Drosophila melanogaster: one gene and its partner. The protein of the gene in region 1 interacts with the protein of each later gene in a pairwise test. Each region holds a gene or a part of one and is shown on either strand. Other genes may lie near its edges. The genes, in order: CG8508 and CG14535.

Region 1 (9,961 bases):
TTAGTGATTTATATTAAAACCATTCCAGCATTCCGTCCAAGAATTGCAAAACAGCGAACTACACACGCCGAGCATTTGACAGTTCCGGAAAAACGGCGGAAAATCGAAATTCGTAGCATTCGCCAGATGTGTGACATATGGCGGCATAATTTATGCGAAAATTGAACCGGATAGTGAGTGGAAACTTCGCGGTCCGTTGCCGCTGCATTTAAATTCTGACAATTGTTTGCATTGTCCTGGCAGCACGTCTGCGGCATTGTTTAATCCCGATTTTTCGACATCGATGGGGACCATCGACTGCTTGTTAATTGACCCACATTTGTGAGCTGAGTACATAATTAAAAGAAAATAAAGCGCGGGACGGTCCAAATAAACCCGCCGACAGGCGTTCGCACACATAACAATGACAATAATAATAAAAGTGAAGTTTCATAGCGAAATTACACACTCGAACAGAATTAAATAAAGAACTATTACGCAGTGGTGTAAAATAACCTGTTCTTGTTCTGAATAAAAAACAAGCGGGAGTGTTGCGTGGTAAAATATAATGAAATTTAAGTTTTTAAGACCATCTATAAAATATTTTTAAAGTACTATAATTATATGGTAATGCGTAGCAAAGTATTTCCGAAGCTTGTGGACACACCGTGCGCTTTTTACTTACCCAGTGAAATAACAACTAGCGGAAAATAATGCATATTAATAGCGACTTTTTCACATATTACACAACTGCCGACATTTATCAGGCATTAATAATTACGTGTTAATACGTGAAATATGATTAAATTTTTATCAGTTTACATGAATCACTTTCGCACGTTTGCGTGCGAACAAGGACATTTTATTGGCTTCATTTGGCGACGGACCGCAGAGAAACTGACGTTTGCCCAATCGGAATTACAATCGCAATGCCAGTGGTTCTGCGTCATTTGGCATCCTATATCCCTGTCCACAAAGCGAATCCTTTAGCCTGTCCATTTGCCTGCTGTGAGTGGAGGGGCGTAATACACTGCGTATACGTAATGGGGGTGCCCCAGCGTATACGCAATAAAAAGTGGTAAAGCCGAGCGATGGCACAAGGATAACCGCCTGCGCTGGCCATTAAATGCAACAATAAATTCGGCAGTTCAACTCCAGTCAACTTCGTTGGCATGCCCGAAATTTAATTAGTTGGCATTTAACATTAAGCATTTCCACTGGCGCCGCGGCTGTCATTGGGCTTTGTTTTCGTTTTGCTTTTTATGTTATTTTTCAGTTAATTAAACGCACGCCAACATCTCGCCATTCTAAATTGTGCGCAATTAAATTTGGAATTACTTTCAACTGAGTATTCGCGTAGCTCTCGCCAGCGGCGCGGCAATAACTTAACTTGAAATTTTATTGTAAGCCCCTGCCTTGCCAACTGTCACTTTTGATGGGCAGCCATTGGAGCGTAATTAGGCTACTACAACGCTCCTAAAAACCCCTACCCAAATTACCAACCCCTTCTCACTACTTGTGCCAAAAAGCTAACTTTAACTTTTCCAGCTTGGCAAGCCTTTAAGTTCGTACCTAACTTCGTTTGTCTGATGCTCGAAAGTGCACTGTCTGCCGGCTTCATTATGCAAAATGCAATGGTACACAAGCCGATGTGAAGAGGCTGCTTGTCTCCCTTATGAGTTGCACTGTTCAGACTTATCCTGGCCAGAATGGTATTTTTTTGGGCCCTGATGGTGCCCAAGCACTCACACATACACTGCATACACTGATGGCATTTTCATAATCGAGAAAAAAAGGTACCGAAAATGTATGTAATGCCAAATTATTAAGACCCAGAATGAGTAAAAATCTTGGAAAGAAAGAAAATTTCAAACTTCAACCCTATTAACTAACATTTATTACATAGAATTACAAAAATATATTGTATAATTATTCTCAAGGCAGGGCATGCCCACTGCGACTTGGATAAACAATAACAGAGATTCTCTTACACTCGTATATGTTTTTCATATCACCTGCGAAGAAAGCACACACACAGAATCGGTGTGTCATGAGTGAAAAAATAAAGGAGGTGAGCAGTTCGTGTCTGTCTGTGCCAAACGAGGTACGAGTGCAATATTTATATTATTGCAGCTACGGCGCCACATTGCAGCGACATGAAATGTTTGGCGTTGCATAAAAACCAAACTTAATGTGCACTCCCACGGGAATGAGGATGAGTTTATTGCTTTTGCGACTCGAGGTAACGCATTCTGTCCCGTTTGTGTCTTCTATGGGACTGAATGATTGTCACAATGAGTAACACCATGATCACGATCAGGATCACCACGCTGATGGCCGACATGCTCAAACTGACCGATTTGGAGGCCATTGCAAAGCTGCTAAAGAGGAAAATTAGTTCCATGGAATCTCCTAGCTTTGAAAATGAAACGCCGGTTAGGAAGTAGTAGGTAGAAGCGCAGTTAAACAGTATCATAATCAAAATCATGGCCACCAGCTGCAAAAATGGGATATTTAAATGTTCGAAATTAGACTTCACCTCCATTTGGCCGACCACCCACCACCAATCGCATGTGCAGACGGGTCCTGGAATAATTCGAGTGGTATAACCAGGTGCTCATGGCGTAAATCAGGCAAATGTAGGCAGTTCCCACGCAGACCACTTGATGGCCCAGCTGCTCATAACTGACGTGGAGGGGCAGGACGTTCCCAAACACCGACGCGTTCAGCACGGAAATGATCTGCGGAGCAGATGACTGGGGTGAGTCACAAGGTCAGATATTAGATGGCAGTCAGGTGCAACTAACCGCCGTGAGGAATAGCAATAACGATACGATTTCCTTGCGGGAGAGTAACATAATGGACGTAACTGGTAATTTAAAAATACTGCAACAGTTACTGATGTTTAACTCAAGGATTGATAAGTCATTTTCTACTACTCATTTTTAATGTGTATTATTCCAACAGGAATGATGGAGTAATTTTAGGTGCATCCGTTTGGTGAATTGCCAATCCCCTGCTGTTGTAGCTCTGTTCTCACTTCATATCCTTTCGAACAAGGTCGTGTTCCCGTCTTCCTAGATTGCCGGCCTATTTGATGAGCGCAAAATCATCGAGAACAAATTGAAATTTGCACCCATCGTGGAAGCTTATCTGCGCCACGCAGGCACTTGCAATGCCACCCATTCCACACAAATGGGAGCGGCAGGCAGCCGGCGCTAATTCATCAACAGTAAAGGCAATTTAGATACTCATCTACCGGATATCGACAGCCAGGCAGCCGGCAGAAGGCACAAGGCAGCCATGTAAGCAGATACCCTCGTCCTGTTCCGAGGACTCCAACCCATCCATTCCGGCGGCTGAGAGCAGCGCGGAGCGTTCTGCAGACAGGGTTTCATAAAATATTGATGGACGTGAAGTTGGCAGCGCATACTCGCTTCCTGTTCCGTGTCTGTCGCAGCCATAAATAATTTGCTGTAAATGCAATCGTGGGGTTACGTGGGGCATGGCATGGGCTACCCTGTGGTTCGAAGTGGGCGCTTTGGGTGCCAGTGGGTGGTGGGAGGTGGGTGGTCATCCGACGGTGGGGGCAGTGGTACGATGCTAATGGCAAGGCGCACGGTGCGAAAGTGTTTCGTATGAATTATTCGCCGGCAGCCAATTTGGAGTCACGTTTGCCAGCACAATTGAAACTGAACACCAACCATCGAACCACCGGCCATAGTGTCAATCCAGTGCTGGCGATTGCAGATAAGAATAAATAGCTATTTCAAAGGGAATCTCGAGTATATATAAAATGAAGAAAGCTTTGGTTATCTAGCTGAATGCAAGGATCGATTGTCTTATTAAAATTGATCAATAATTGTTAAAGACATAATCAGAATTTTTAGAGCAAATAAAGAAACGTGAGAATATTATAATTATTTTGTTAAAATTCAGTTTTATGGATATGGTAAATGTCTTACAAATATATTTGGCTTCTAATCTCTATACATAATATCCTTGATATTCTTAGCTAATAGCTAAGGAAAGTCTATTTCAACAGCACTGCCTTCCTGTTGTGAACCGCCTGTCGAAATGGTGTAATTTGTTATGTCTGCCACTGTAGCCGACCATGTCTATCTTCGGCCCGGGCTGCTTTTTAATAGCCATTCTCCTGCTGGCCGACTGTTGCTCGGCGGTTGTTGTGCCTTTATCGCCGGACTGCCTCCACTCCACCGTCGCCTACTCCTGCTCCTGCTCCTGAGTTCGTCCTGCGCCGGCAGGGTAATGTGTATTTAATGACGCCATCTCATGTACAATGCCCGTATCCGTTCTGCCATGATCCTGGCCTTGTCGACGGACACCGGTTGTCCTCCAGCGCCTAATGTCCAGTGACCGCAGCCATCTGCAGGATAATGCCCCGGCTCCTGGTCGACGGGTGCCAATAAAGCTGCGCCCGCTGGCAGGCATTTCAATTTCGTGCCTGCCCTGCTTTTTTCAATATTTTTAAACGGCAGCCATAAAACGTGAGCGGTAATGTGCGGACAAGGCTGTTTAATTGTACCCCTGCCCTCAGGGCAATCAGCAACTGTTTGTCTCAGATTACGATGGTAAGTCTCTCGATGTGTTTAAACAATAATTGAATTTAAGTACGTTCTCCAAACAATAGAATAGAAGCCCAGAAGAGCAATTCATATCTTGAAACCAGTGCACTGGCAAACTAGTTTGACATGTATGTTCGCCAAAAATTCTTAAATATTATATACTTAATGAGATACAATAGGGTTTTTGGTAATTTTGGGCAACCAAGACATACAGTATCTTTATAAAATCAAAAGGAAATTATGATAACTAAACTTTTATACACAGCTTCCATATCTAGTGATCTTTATTTTCTAGTCATTATCGCAATCTTATTATTATCACTCCGAATATCATCATATTTTTTTTGTGTACATTACTAATATATATTATCCCTAAATCCGTACAGGGCAACGATGAGTCTAAAGGATCTCAATCTGACCAAGGAGCAAATGATCAAGCTTCAGCAGTTGCTGGCACAGGAAATAGAGGACGAAAGCCAGCAGGAGCGGAATGAGCTATCAAACGATGATTTCATAGCCAATGCACTGGATAAAGTGCAAGTTTATGTGGAGGCTGGTAAGCCAGAGGCTTTTGTCCAGCTCAAAGAACCGCTATTATACAAATTTAAGATTACCTCAAATGGAGTAGCTACTGGATCTTCGGAATCGGATAAGTTTCAACGCGCAGACGCCAAGGAAATTGCTCGCTGGAAATCTGACCATGTAATAAATTTGGATTGCATTTCAGACGAGGACTACGAGCAGTTAAGCCAAATTCAAACCGATGAAAGTACTGGAGAAACCTACATGCTCGTGCCCATTGATATAAACATACTCATTGACGATACCGAAATAACTCCTGATACTTCCACAAAGCGTATCACCGAAAATGACGCCTACAATGCGACGGGAGCGGGACACACCATCTATATGCATCCCGAACAAGAGGGGCATCAGACTGGTTTAGATAGAAATCCTCAAGCTAAACACGCTTGCCCGGCTCCGCCAGAAGAGCAGACCAACTACGACTACCACATGCACACTTTCGAGGTGCCCAAGCTGAGTTTTCCCTTTGAACTCAAGTTTGGTATTGATACTGATCGATTGGTGGGTGGCAATGTGGATAAATCGGCTGAGGACTCGGGAAAATCAGATCACGACGACGATCTGGGGGTAGCTACCGAGCTTCAGGACGTCCTAGAGGATTTAGAGGTATAAAGATCATCTTGCTTTTTAACGCCATCAAGGAAATCATTTAGAACAACAAAATTTGTAACTAGCTTTCCAAGTTAGGTGCCTCTCGTTAACTAAATCTTTGTCTTAAATTATAAATATTTTATGAAATTATGTACAAGCTAAAATAATGCTACAGTATTTACAACTTTTTTTCGTGTAAGCATTCCCATTTCCTAAACGTAAGTAATGTGATTTAATTTAGTAGACCCAATCTAACCGATTCAATAAGCGTTCGAATTGCTGTTGCAGTAATAATAATGCTCTTAAAAGGGGTTGGTAAGTAGCCTACATGTTCAAATGCTTAACTAAATGGCACTTCCTCTCAAACAATTGCACCTAATTGCAGACACTTGACCTAAGCTGCATAACAATGACCGTCCACCCAATTAACCCCCCGATATCGGACTTATATATATATATATACATATCGACCAGCCCGCAATGCAATCTCATCCCCTGTTCAATACAATTTCCATTCAGCTTGCAGCACGGCAAAGAGAATATGATAAGAAGCAATGGAAAATTTGCATAAAGCTTTTAGCCTAACGACGCGACATTTGTTTTTTATGTGATTCATGGACCACCCTCACTTTATGTTCATTTTTTTCCATTTTCATCGCAGAATGCAACAACTACCAACTTCCGCACAATTATTCAGCAATTTTAAGCACAACAATCGGACGGCAGAAGGGGTCGAGCTGGGATCTGGCGGAGATCTGGTTGCATGCCTGATTGCCTGGGGGCCAAAAAGCTAGGTCCTTCGATTCCGACATCGACTTGGTCGCTTAAGCAGATTGAAACAATCTCCGGGCTGGGTAAGAGCTTATAGCCCTCATGGACAAAGGGGGGAGGAGGGTTTTCTTTGGCTTTTAACTTTCGCCGGGACTGCCATTATTATTATTCTCCGGCGTCTGCCTGCAACTGTCAGTTGGGTAATTTATAATGAAGTTTCCTTATTGACAGTGGCAGCTTCCCTTCGAATTCCTGGCTCCCGATTCACGATTCGCACTTCCGCTGCAGCGATTCTCCTGCAGTTGGGCATAAATTATGGATGCCTCTATATAATATATCGCCATAAATTGCTTGTCAAGTCGCGAGTCGACAGGCGAGCTAACTAAGATGCCGATGCCGATGCCGATGCCGGCAAACAAATAACAATCAAAATCACTTTTCGACCCCAAGTCGATTTATTTATATGGGACGAAATCTCGGTACTGAGGCCTTAATCGCTGAGGCCAGCCGCATCATGAGATCGTCAATCGTTTTGATTTATTGCTATTTTATTTGCGCATATCCTTATTTGCCTTGGCCGCAAACTTCGAACCCCAATCAAGGCCGAGACTATTTTATTGTTCGATAGCTTATCAGGCAAAGGCAAACAGACTGAGCGCCTTGGAGGCCGGCAAATATCATAATTTTCGCAGGACACGCTGCCCTGTGTTTGTGTTTGTGCTGGTTTCGTCCTGTCACAATGCCGTGCAAGGCATAAATCTGAATTAAATACCATTTTGAGCTGCTCGCAAGGAGTAGCTGGTCGGAGAAAATGTTTATATTCAGCACATTGTCACTTGTTGTGGCCTCTTTCTTGGACTCAACTCAACTCAACTCTGGGCCAGAAATTCCGCCGGGAATTGCTGCTCAGTGGCCCGGGCAAATAAATATTAATCATTGTGTAATAATTTTCTGCTGTCAGCTAAATTCAAGCAAAGTATTCATAATCCACAAGTAAGAACCGCTTTTGACAAATCGCTTTGCGGGCCACTCGCATAAATATTTATATTTATATTCCATGTAGGCCGGCAGTTAAAATGCTTTTAAAGTTGCCGAAAGTTGGGCGCCAGTTGCTGATTTGATTTTTTCAGCGATGTTTCCATTTGTTTTCTCGCCAACTTTCGGCAACTGTAAATCAGTTTGAGATCCTTTGATGTGTGTTTTGGGCTTGGGTTGCGAGAAACGAGATTGCAATAATCAAAATGTAATAAACAGAGGCTCTCACACATCCGCTTTCAACTGGTCGGGTCAAAACCAAAATGTTCTTTATGCACGGGTCCTTTGTACGTGATTGTGTGAGTGTGAGACCTTCTCATCTTGTCCTTTGTGTGTGTGGCTCTCAGCATTCGATGCACGTAACGCATTGTTTGAATTTCATGGCGACTTTATGAGTTTTGTAATCAGGTTTGTGAGCAAACAGACCCAAAAACACACACGCAGCCTAGCACTCACGTGTTAACCTGCACATAAATATTGTTTCTGGTCGTGGGCTCACCGATTCTCAGATGTGGGCGTGTTGACAAGCCGGCCGAGCAGCCAACCGCCCGTTAATGCTAATGAAACCCAAAGTTTGGGCTCGCCTATTAAGCCATTTTGTGGTCTGCAAAATCCACTTAAAACGTCTGGCGGCAACAAAATATTTTATTGCATACTCTTATGCGCAGACATTACCTGCACCTCTGCCTCAGCAATCGGTAAAAATGTTCAACAATGTGATTTATACACGCTGGAAGCACTTAAAACTAGACACACACTTTCACAATAGACTGGTCACACCCCCGGAACGCCCCTTTTGTTGTTTGCTGGCACTTTTGGAGCTCTTCCAAGGATCAGAGCTTAGTCAGCACACATGGAAAAAAAATCAGACACATTTTAAACTGTTAAACTTAAGGATATATACATAGATACAATATAATTTTAAATCGTACGTTAATCATGGTCTAATTCTGAAATGCTATTAGGCAGTTCCTTAAGCAGATTCTTTTATTGTAAAATAATGACCTCGTTATCCTTGGTTTTTTTTCTCGGTGATACTCTATTGTCTGTTTGCCAAACAAAAGCCTCTCTGCAGTTGATGACTAGAAATTAACTAAGCAGCAATAGCAGCAGCAACAATGTTGCCAAGACCGAAGCAATGGGGCTGTCTCAAAGACCGGAGGCCCCACCCCCACCACGGAAAGCAAACAAGTAGTATTTCCAACCCCTCGGCTTGCAAGTCTAGCTATCGGCTGTCCACTATGGAGCATTAAATAAATATTTGCCATGCTCTGCAGGAATTTTGAGACCCCAAGCCCAAGGAACACATCCCTGCCTGCCTGCCTGCCCGTCCGACTGGGAAAAAAATATTCTAAATATCATATCATCAGCATTTTTCGATGGAGTCTCGCCCTGGTTTCCATGGGGCCATGCGGTTTCGGGGGCTGGGATCGTCCAGTGTTTACCATTTATTTTTTGATTTGGGTATTTAAGGTGTAGATGGATGGGCCAAGGCGGGCGTGCGTGTCCAAAAGAGTGTCGCAGTGTGAGTGCGGAGGGGTGAGTATATGTGTGCGGTTGTGTAGGCAGCAGAGTGTTGACAACTTAAGTGGAATTTTGCTTGGTCGAGCGTTGCAAGCATTAGCTTTTATCAGATGACATTAATATTATCTGAAGGACAGTTATTAGTTGGGTTAGAAAGAGACGCATCCTACATTAGACAACTAAGAAATGCACTTTTTAGTCCAATATTTAAATTTATATTCATTGCTCGCCAAAACATTAGTTGAACATAATCTAAGTCTTCTTACGAACGTGGTGGTCGTACAGTATAATGAAACCATATAGATTTGACCTGATCATAGAGCGTCTAACGTTGCTGGAAAAGGGGTTCTTCTTGGTGGTAACGGGTATGTTCTTGTGATCTCCCTTGTGAGCAAACATAAGACCATGTTCCGGATGAGCTACCACCGTATAATTGTCGTTGTCATTCGCAAAAATCTTCCTGGTCTTCCAGTCGTAGAAGACTATATCACTCGGCTGGGGCTTCAGCAACTTCCGCTCCTCGAAAACCGCCTTCCAATCGACTGCATTTGGTCCCTTGAACCGGTAGTTTCGCAGACTGGCCTCAAAGTCAATGTAGCCTGACTTGGAGAACCCACTTCGTCCGCTTATTTCCAGAAAGATAATGGTCTGCAGGTTGGGATCTTCTACTATAAATGTAAAATGTAAATCTTAAAAGTTTTTACCGATATCTCCTGCTGGACATTCCCGTGCTCGCGTTCGGCCAATGCCCAAAGTGCTGGATCGGTTCCCTTGAAGTACTGACTGTAGTATATCTGGGCAGAAACCGTTGGATTCAGGAGCTGTTCCACCTGCTTTTTCACGTTTAAGAACTCATCCTCCTCGTAGAAAGTGCGGTGTTCCCGATAGCC
Region 2 (11,186 bases), on another chromosome or scaffold:
CTCGTCGCCATCCGGAGGAGCTGGATCCAGAAGAGGTAAACTCTCGAAGCACGGCTGATTCAGATCCAAGGAGGGTTCCGGATTGAATGCAGGTCTGTCTGGTAAATCCAGTGATTTCTGCTTCAACTGCGAGAGTTTCCAGTGCAAAGCAGTGGGGGAATTACTGGCGGACACCGTACTTTGGAAGACTTGCGTTGTCTGATTCTCAACCCACTGTCGAATCATGGTCTTCTTGTGGGCATCCATAAAACCATAGCCCTGTGTCTGACTTCCGCCGGCTGCTGGAAGATTGCAGGCTGTCAAGGATCTGCACGATTGCGACTTTGGACCATCCACCCATGTTTCGCATTGCTTCACATGATTCACCTCCCTCATTAGATGACGAGCTTCCGCTACCTTCGCCCTGGACACTCGTGGTCCATCGATCCACTGCTCTTCCGTTATTTTCCTCATTCCCGCTTCCAGCTGTTCGAGAGCTGCTCCCGGATGAGCTCTTCGCATGGGCGATCCCTTCGGCGAGGGCACCATCGACCCTTTGGACACCATGTGCCGGGGTATCGGTATAGGTGAACCCATTGCCTGTATCTGTGGCTGCTCGTGTGGAATCATTGGCGAGGAGCAGGCTCCCGCTCCCGCCTGACGTTTCAGACTGCCCGTGTGGCTTCCCGGAAGCTTTTTAGCTGAAATTGGAAAGTAAGCAAAAAATATGTGAATTATAAATAAGGGCTTTGATGGTAGCAATAGGTCAAAAGCAACCAACATCTTGGCCAAATAAATTCTATTGTATGTAAGCTGTCAGCTTAACTTTTAAATAATTTAAGTGTTTTACCTTTTTCCGCTGCCATGGCTTTTTTCATCATCATGGGACTGTTGGAAGCTGACTTCGAGGGGGGCTTCTCCAGCCCACTCCCTTTGAGGGCTTTACTCATCACCCCGCGATTATCCCCCGCAGTCAGCGATGGCAGATATACGGGCGGATGTTCCCCATCCGTGGCATCGTCATTGGGCCCCATATAGATGACAGTGTCGGCTGAGATTTCCGAGCTCGACGGATCCGCACCCGATCCCGCCGAGGAGCCGTTGCCGCCGAGTCCTTGGGCCAAGCCCACAGCCAAGGGCATGGGAACACGATGTTTCCTGCGACGCAGCCGATGAATTCTGGATGCGATTTGAATGGTGGAGAGTGCGTCCTGATAGCTCTGCTCTGGTCGCACATGGGCCACGATGGCCACATGGCAGGTAATGGGGGCCAGGCAGTCCTTGAGCAGCGGCGTCAGCGGGTGGTCCTTGTGTGGGGGATGCCTCTGGCCGGATAGTATCGCGAGCAGTATGTTACCGATCCCCGACAGCGGCAGTCCCCCGTTGCGATTCGCACACCCGCCCAGGTCGATGATATGTAAACGGCTCCGACCGCCAGCAACTGCACAGAGAGAAAATATTGAAAATATATTAAGTATATTTATGAAAGTAGTTTAACAATTTCAATTGTTAAAATTAAAAAAAAAACAAATTGGATTTATAGCTCTTAAAAATCAGTTGATAAAATGCTTAAGCATAACTGATATTTAGTTCCATTTCTCCATGTGTTTGCATAAGAGGCAAGTGGGTGGGAGTGGGTTTAAATGGGGGTGGCGCTGGGTGTTGGAGTGGAGGAAATGCGACACTTTAATGGCGCTGCCGTCTAGTGGTAGTGAAGCATTTAGCGGGCCACTTGAGTGGCAGCAGCAACAAAAGTGGCAGCAACAATAGCAATAACAAGGAAAAGGGAACACTTCGAAAGTCGAAGAATGAAATACTCTAGGTTATTCGAAAAAGGCTTAAAAAGGATTCTAGACTTCCACGTATGAAAATTAAAAAAGAAATGTATTGAAAAAGAAGAGTAGAAGGTAATCCTAAAGATACTGGCTAATAATTCGTTTTTGGAATATGATAATGCTGTTCAAAAATATTTAAATAAATATAATATGGATACAATTTCTTAAAGATGCATATTCAAGTTTTGGTAGCTGTACTGTATCTATACAATACATTGTAGTTGCCATATTTTATGATTTTTACAAGCTTTACTGCTCCAGAACTTAGACCAACACCCCAAATTTTGCAGGGCACGACAACAACAATGTGTTGGACACTTACCACCTCCCTTGCGGGACAGGCTGTACTGGTAGACGTGCAGCGTGAAGATGAGGGCGGACTCCAAGGGGGCGGCACATCCAGAACTCCCAGATGCCGTGGAACCGGAACTTTTTAAGCGTCCGGCGAGCGCTGAGTCGAGGAAAAGGGCCGCACGCTCGGCGGTGGGTGCACGTAGTTCCGTTGGACCGCCAAGGAAGTCGTCACGCAAATAAATCCCCGGGGAGTCGTCAGATTCTGTGTAGCCGTAGTCGGAGCCGGAGTTCCAGTATTGGGACCAAAAAAAAAGAAGCGGGGAGTGAATGAAAAGGGCATTAGGTTTTATGTGGGAATAAACGCCGTATTCTACGGGGATAAGGTGGGGGTGCTGTTCCGTTGATGATAAGAAGGTGGGGTTGGTGTCGGAACTGCTGCCCAGGTTAAGTTTATTCAAATTGGGCCAGTTACGACCCCGACCCGCCCCAGTCATCATCATCATTGTTTGGCCCAGGGGCAACATTATGCCACGCCCCCTGCAACCGCACACAGCGGAGCCATTTATTCTGCCGGCGATTCTGCCCGCTGGCATCTAACAGGTGGACCAGTTGCCAGTTACTAACTACCCGAAATTAAGGGAAAAGGCAAGTTAAACAAAGATCTGTTAAAGCGGGTAACTAGAAGCAAACACACCCAAAGAATATTAGCTTTTCTGAGTACTCGCTGGCCTTGGTTAATTAAGTCAACTTTTAATCTTGATTATATATATGTATTTAGGTCTTGATTATGTTTTTTGTACAAGTTAATCATTTTAAATAATAATGTAAAGAAGCATATAAAATTATATATATGAATCTGATGATTATAAAAAATCCTTCTTATGCTTAAGAATTTTCTAAAATCATTGTTTATTACAGCTGAGCATAAAAGTATCTCGAAGTGAGCAGTATAGCTATATGTATTTAAACTCAACTTAAATAACAAATAATAAAGACAACTACTTCTTACAAAGAAAGGAATGCCTTCAGCTTATAATGAATAGTGGCACATTTAGTAGTTGACCTGGAAACGTTGAGCTATGTACCCCCGATCCTGGCCAAAGACCCCTCCTGTCTGCCATATGCTTACCGGCTGCATGCGAGATGAGCAAATCCTGCGATAGGGCATCCGGCTTGGTGGCACTGACGCCCACGGCACTGACCCGCACCGAGAAGCGTGCTCCGCTCTTCTGCCGCCTCTCCTGGATGCCCTTGTACAGCCAGGCGATGGCGCAGGGTGCTGCTCCCAGGGAACACGCCACACCGCTGCCACTGGCACTGCCACTCCCACTACCACCGCCCAGTTCTCCCAACACCGTTTGGGCCTGGCCGGTGGCGGGATATCCCATGGCCAGCAGGCAGCCATCGGAACCTTCGAGCACGGCGGGTATCACTTCGCTCAGCGCCGATGCACACACATCCGACTGGAATATACGATGCACAGAGAGAAAATGTTAAAAGGTTGGGCATTTTTTTAAGAACTTAACTAAATGGTAATATATAGGAGTTTATAATAATGATGGTTTCAATGGGTATCAATAAGTAAATATAAATGATATAAGATATTTTCCAATTTCCTTCCTTACAAGCACCAAGCATTTTTCTTAGTGTTTATCGAAAACGAATAGGTGTGGAGTGGAGGTCAGTGGGTGGTGGCTAACAAGGCATACTAATGGGCTCTCTTTAATGGCTGGAATTGGGTTCGATTGCGGGGTTAATTCGATTGCTGATTAGATCCGATGGGGCAGGACAATACGCGTATGTGTTAATTCTATTGGGGGTATTTCTTTCGTTCGGTCTGAGGGATTGCCTTATGAGTGATTGCACTTGGAGGGTCATAAATCTTGAAAAGGAACTTTGCTTGCTATGTATTATGAAGATTGATTGTGGTATTTTGTGGTGACTTGTTATTCTGTGGAATTACTAACACCTCTTTTGTAATCTCTTAACAAGTTAAATGGCATAGCTTCGAGACAAAAAATCCAGACATTTATCGTTTGCACCAAATTATTCATATAATGCACAGATGTGCCCTTCTCACAAAAGGATTCCCACGGTCAATTTAACTTTTATAATTGCAACTCAATATTTACGTTAGGGACATTTTTCTGCAGACAAATAACATCGCGAGAAGTCTGGAAAGTTTTGTTGATTTTGAGAAAAGCAAAGTACACTGGCAAAGTGTTAACTCTCAGTTGCCGGAAGTTTTGTAGTTTTTTGTACATAATGAATGGTTTTATTGTCAATATTGTATTACCCTTATTATTATTAGGTGGGCCTTTTGTTTGTTTATCAAGAATTAATAGCTGTTAATAAGGGTTATTTGCCACCTAAATTATACTGTGTGTCAACAGTAACCAATCAAGTATTTAGTTTACTTGGTAACGGTTGCTCTTGTTTGTTATTATTTAAACAAATTTGCTATTTACATTTAAATAAATTAGAATTAATACTTTTAACTACATATTTTTCAAACGATTTTTAGAATATTTCAACTTGATTTAATTGATGTTATACTTATGATGTTTTATACCTATTTCTTAAACTTATTCTGGATCTAAGGATGCTTTAAATAAATTGGTTCAACATCCATGTGTGAACGTGCACTCCATTCAGATTTTCGTTAAGGTTGAAACTCACCTGCTTATCCTCGCCAGTGAAGAGGTTATCGAATGCAAACATTTTGGGAGCGGCCACCATGGGCGCCCGTTCCTGGGCAGCCTGGGGCGGCGGACACGCGGTTCTCGGATCGGTGAGCGTGACCTGTCGCTTCTTCTTGTCCAGGGCCATAAAGTCCGGCTCGGTTCCGCCGGAGTTCCTGTCCCGGTCCGCCACCCGCAGCATGACCTTCACCTTGCCCACTCCGTAGCACTCCCGGCTACTCAGGCGTCGGATGAGGGTCGGCGGCATCGGCGGCGGTGCCCGCTGCAATGCACCACAGAAGCCACCGTTGCGGGACATGTTTGACGTACTGGTGGTGGCCATGGTTCCTTGACTATTGTTCGCCACAGTTGGCGGTGGAAGTTTATTGCTGGAAGCACTTGCGTTTCCTTTTGTGGGGAGGGGTAACGAATAAAATTGGGAGTTAATAAGAGGCCCAAATCCTGGCTTTTGTTTTATGTCTGGGGATCTTAAAATGCAATCGTCACTCCCCATAAACTTTGTTTGTTTTTTGGGGGTTTTATGGTTCTTTAAATAGTTGCTGGGCCTGTCATAAATTGCGATTTCGGTTCGGCCCGATGGGCATAAGTTATTTGGTCCTGCCGCCAAGAAGGGTCCTTGCCCTTCGGTAATGGCCATAACACTTTCGCTTTATGGTTATGGGCCATCTGTTTATTGGGCATATGCTTCACTGTACTATCATCACTATCACGCTCGCACTGTCACTGTCACTAAGCTCGTGTTTTATTCACTTGTAGCATCTTGTGCATAAAATCAAATTTATGTTGAATTTGCTTGGGCTTTTATGGTGGGAAATTATGCGCTTCGTTGTCTTTCTAGTGTTCTTTTGGGACTGTCGTATTTCACATCAGTTTAATTCTATTTGAAAAGTTTATGTACACGCTTTTAAGTTCCTTTCGGTCATTAAAAAAAGTTTTAAGCCCAGACTTTTAACAATTTTCAGTTCTTTGTTGGAGCTATAAAGTGTTTTAGAGGTTTTGCATTCTATTACCGAAAACATTAGGACTTTAGTTACAGTATTAATTAAAAAATTAATTAAAAACTTTTCTATGATTACTGTTAGAATTGATTATATATTTAAATGTGGTTTAATTTCTAATACCTTAAATTTAAATTTGTTATAGTCACACAATATTTCTGGTAAAGGTTCCGTTGCTTTTGCAAAGCTTTATTAACTTTTAAATTTTTATTTTTTTATTCTTGAGTTTAATTAAGTTATTATTTCATTTCTCTGAGGAACTGTCTGAACATCTTTAAAATGTTCCTTTGGGATGGGCTTTCTAAGGCGTGTCACTCAAACTTAGATATCGGAATGGCATGCTTTTGGGGCATGCTTCTTATCGTGCTTGTTATGTTTTATATCACTGAAATTATTAACTTTACTTGTTGTGCTGAACTTTACATATATTTGAGATATTCATGCAAATTCCACTGGATTTCTTCATTTTTACTTGTCAGTCGCGGGCCGTGACATTTCTTCAATGCCTTCATTATTATTATTTCAATTTGACTGGGGAAAACGTGACGTTTTTGCAACGTCTTTCATTAATATTGTCCCCCGATTCCCAGCCCCAATTTCCCCATTCCATACACGCTGGCCTCTTCTGTATTGCCATTCCATTGCCATCCCCTTTGAATGACAGGCAACAACTTCGGGTCGGTTCAACTTCATTTTTCAGGCTACGCGCACCTGCCAACTGGAGGGAACTTCTTCGGCAGCTTTTCCATTCTTTTATATGGGTTTGTCCCTTACTTTTTTTTTGCCTGCCCGGTTTCAGTTCGCTTTTTATTGGAGGACTGGCGTCGTCCACCTTTTGAGTTTTAGCTTTGGCTTTTCACACAAATCGATTGGCAATGCCTTCTAATTGTACACGACGCACAATAGGGGAGTCTAGCTGAAGTCAGGGGTTAAGGGTCCTGCGGGGTAGCGGGTAGGCGGGGGTTAAGGGATTTCCCTTTTGGCACAACACACACACACAAGCACACTGGCACGCAAACACACACGAAACAGGAACAAACACAAACCCTTTTTTTATGACTGGCAATTTCTCGCTGTTGATTTCATCTTTGGCTCAACTCCTTCGACTTTCCAAATTGCCTTGATTTCCTCGCACATGATTTATACTTTATATTCAACACACTGGGATTTTCCCCGATTCTCAGCGAGCTTTGTTGTTTTTCTTTTGTATTGGCTTGTCACTTTAGCGAATAATAAATAAAAAACCCGCCAGGCGCGAAAGCCAAACGCGTGCCGATTGCGTTGGCATTACAATGGCAACTGAAGTCGGGTTTTTGGTTTCGGTTTTGGTCTTCGGTCTGGGCCTGAATTTCCCAAGAGTTTTCCGCCTCTCTTTGGCGCAGGCGTGCCAGAAGAAAGAGCGAATCGCGTATGGTAACGCCACATTGCTGACCCCAAGGGTAGTCGGACTTTCACTCTTTCACTCTCTTTCGGAAAATCTCTTGCTTTCGGCCAACGACAGTGGCTTTGAGGCTCAGGTAAACAAAATCAGCGAGGCTAAAACAAAAGGAACAGCGTAAATGATGTTTATATTGTAGACGTCAAAATGCTCACTGGCCAGGAACATTAAAATAGAGTGATACCTCGTCTTTACTAGAAGATGTCCATGGTCACTCGATCTTTAAACGCTAGTAACCATTATTTCTTTACCTTAAAACAATAATGTAATGTATTATACAAAAAATATGTTTTACTTAAAAAAAAAAAAAATTTATAAAGTATGGTCTCATTGTTAAATATTTTTAAACACTATTACTAAACTATTAAAAGAATATATAGCTTAAGAAATAGATAACAAAATCTTTTTTATAAATACTTAAAAGTTGGTTATCCCCAAAAATTGAGTTAAAAGTGCAGGCGTTAGCATTCAAAGATTGAAATCCATAGCTTTTACCGCCTCTGGGATGCAACAGTACAAATACAATATACCTTTTTTCTGCGTGAGTACCTGGAATAAAAGGAATATGGACATGGTGATAGTTGAGCTGCTGGAGCGTCACTTAAGTGCCGCTTGGAGTTTCTGCTGATGGAGGGGGCTTTTTCAGGGGGCAGAGTGGGCGTGAGGTGATGATGGGGCTTTTCGTGGATGGGGATGGGTGAGTGGTGGGCAGAGGGGCCAAATGCAAACGATGTGTTTTTAAGTTCGCTTACATTTGGCAGGCTCGTGAAGGAGCTGTTGAGTGTGTGTTCGGGTTTAAAAGCATGTGTGCACCGGAATGGATGGGGCTTGCACGGATTTACCTCTACTTTTTTTCCATTTTTTTTCACCAAGTGGACAACGGTAACGGGTCAATTAAAGTGGACCCGGCTGATTGTTATTAAGGTGGCTGCGGGAAAAGGGCTGTAATCCAATCCGTTTTAAGGTGTTTCGCTACTAATTATCTTAATACTTAAGGGAAATTCCGTGAAAATCGTTTTTCCGCATCGAGCAAATCAAATTGTATGCAATCCAAGCGCCAAAGAAAATAAAACGCAAGCAAATAAACGAAACAAAGCTCAAGTTCGGTGAATGGAGATAAAAAGTTTGAGAAGCACTTGCGTACAGTTTGGAGGCTAGCTGCGGCGCCATCTGGCGGGCGAACATAACGTGGCAACGCCAACGGCGTTGTAGTTTGAATCTTGAGTTCATTAACATGCAATGAAAATAAGAAATCGTTAAACTATATTTAACATAAAAGTTCCTGCTTATCTGTACTACTGTTTAATATATTTTCATGATATGCTTTTATATATAATTTCAATCCAAGTATTGTCATAATTATCACTATAGCTTATATTATTTTTTATTTTTAGCGTAAGCTGAAAATACTTAGCATGATATTTATTTTTCCAGTAAAATATATATTATATCTATAAATTCTTATCAACAATATTGCGCTGCTGTTCATATTGCGCTGTTGTCATAATTATCACTATAGCTTATATTATTTTTTATTTTTAGCGTAAGCTGAAAATACTTAGCATGATATTTATTTTTCCAGTAAAATATATATTATATCTATAAATTCTTATCAACAATATTGCGCTGCTGTTCAGACTGCAGCATAGGAATTCACATTTAGTGCATTATAAACGTTCGTCTAAAGAGGTTCAATTTGCTAAGCATGTTCCAGCTGAAAGTTCTCCTATATTACGCAATTATCGCAATAGTTATAAATGCATCACCTTCAGGATGCGAGGAGACAGATCGTGTCGAAGCCTCGAAGCGCTGATGCCATTGATCGGTCACATTGCCCAGCACCAGGAACAGTGGAAAACCTGCAAGTTGCAAGAAATACAGGCCCAACAGAGGGATATTGAAAAAGAAATTGAAAGCCAGAAGACATCGCTAACGGAATCGTGGAAGAAGATCATTGCAGAGGATATCGAGAACAGAACCAATAGGTCAGAACTTAAGATGGAGGGTCAACTATCTGACCTACAGGAAGCATTGACTAGTATAACGACGTCGCTGAAGAATATGTCTGCGAAAATAAATATTTTACATAGGTTCAAGCGAATCGGATCGAGATATTTGCACATCGAAGACATAGTCCAACAAAATTGGACCAGTGCTTTGAGCGCATGTCAAAAGATGGGAGGTAATCTAGCCTCAATTATAAATGAAGCAGACTTTAATGCTATCGTTTCGCAACTAAGCAAAGACAACACTTATATGATTGGCATTAGTGATCTGGCTGAAAAGGGCGTTTTCATATCTGTGTCCTCCGGAAAGAGAGCACCTTTTTTGAAATGGAATCCTGGAGAGCCACTATACGAACATGTAGATCAGCGTTGCGTTTCTATACATAACGGTGGCATGTGGGTTGCTTCTTGTACTTCTGATTTCAAATACATTTGCGAGGCAAATGAAAATGTATAGTAAACAGATATATATAAATATATGTACACATATGTTAAGACTTGCAATGTGAAACATACAAAAAGAAATCCATCTTGTACAGATAATTCGTTAAACTTTTATTTAGCCATTGATGTTTTGTGTTTTTAACATTATATACTTGAGTATCATTTTAATCTTCATTTTTTTTTGTTGCATTTCGAGTGCTTCGCACATTCTATTTAATGACAAATCGTGTGCGAAATGTGCAATATGAAATTGGAATAAATTGCCTACTTGAAAATGCGTTTGTGATGAAAATCATGTACCACGTATATATCGTTAATCGGTATCAGGATCGATATCTCTATCGATAACTAAGGCTAGCTCGCAGTGAGTGTTTCGAGTGTTTTGTGTGAGTGTATAACGCATCGTTCGCTTAAAGACCTAGACTTAAGACTAAACAAACAATTTGAAACAAACAGCCTAGATGGAAAACATACTTCTCGTACATCAGGTAGAAACAACATCAGAGATAAGAATTACTCATCTATAGGAGTAATAATCCTATGAGCTGGGTGTGGAGAGGGGATGGGGGAGATTCGTTGCTTGGTAAACTTTGTCACGCGTTAAGGTCCTTGAAACAGAAAATAATACAATACACATAAGATATGCAGTTTGCCATGAGTTGGGTTGAGATAAGCAAATCGGTATTCGGGTTGGACTGGATCGCCTAGTGGGATGGTGCCCCATACGAGCTGCTGGGAGCAGAGGGTGCGGGCGGGGCAGCTGGAGCTCCGTACTCGGGCGCTGGAGGCGCCACACTGTTGGGATAGGGTCCGGTCTCCTCCTTCTGGGTCTTGTAGCGGATGAAGTACACCTCCGGCTTGCTGGGTTGGGTGGGAGCTGGCGTTGGGATAATGATCTCCGGCTGCTCCTCCGGCTTCTTGACTAGCACGTACACCAGGGTCTTCTCTTCGTTCTGTGGGAACTGCGGTATTACAGGGGCGGTCGGTACTGGTGGAGATGGCGCCTTGATGAAGACGATCTTGTAGTGCTTCTGCGGAGGTGGCACGTAAAGGGGTTTCCTGGGAAAATATTTAAAAATGTATTTAAATAAAGGTTCTGCTATATCTGTATTTAAGGAATTTCTTAGGAATTCTATGGGTAAAGTAAGACACCACATCCTCATATAACGCAACTTTTTTTGCTTCCGGCTTGTAAAAATTTACATACTGAATAAAAAAATTTCAATTACACACGGCCAGGCTGGAATGACTTTCCACACTTCCTATAACCTTGCCTTGTTGAACGAACAAATACCGCGATGCGGGAGAAAGGAGTTTCTCTTTGAGGTGCATGCAAATGGCATGCCCATAAATGGTGACCTCCCGAAAATGGTGACCTCCCGACAACGTTGAACCCACTGCAGCTGCTTGTCAGTTTTACTAATCAGATGAAGATGATGACTATTGTGACGATGACAGCGATTGTCACAACAACCGCCTCGAGACGAGGG

Evidence for each region.
Region 2: the proteins of CG8508 (region 1) and CG14535 interact in a two-hybrid assay, tested with the Drosophila melanogaster proteins (one large-scale study listed by BioGRID).

What each region holds. Positions count from the first base shown.
Region 1 is NT_033777.3:13,181,466-13,191,426, reverse strand, and holds CG8508 (uncharacterized protein), read left to right. Parts: upstream 1-4,930; 5' UTR 4,931-4,958; coding exon 4,959-5,762; 3' UTR 5,763-5,901; downstream 5,902-9,961. Other genes in the region: CG14380 (uncharacterized protein), read right to left, coding at 2,201-2,476, 2,541-2,720, 2,787-2,837; CG8138 (uncharacterized protein), read right to left, coding at 9,324-9,719, 9,776-9,961.
Region 2 is NT_033779.5:7,848,170-7,859,355, forward strand, and holds the start of CG14535 (uncharacterized protein), read right to left. Parts: upstream 7,307-11,186; 5' UTR 6,855-7,306; intron 5,198-6,854; 5' UTR 5,133-5,197; coding exon 4,788-5,132; intron 3,572-4,787; coding exon 3,238-3,571; intron 2,371-3,237; coding exon 2,137-2,370; intron 1,421-2,136; coding exon 830-1,420; intron 681-829; coding exon 1-680. Other genes in the region: TwdlE (TweedleE), read right to left, coding at 10,401-10,755.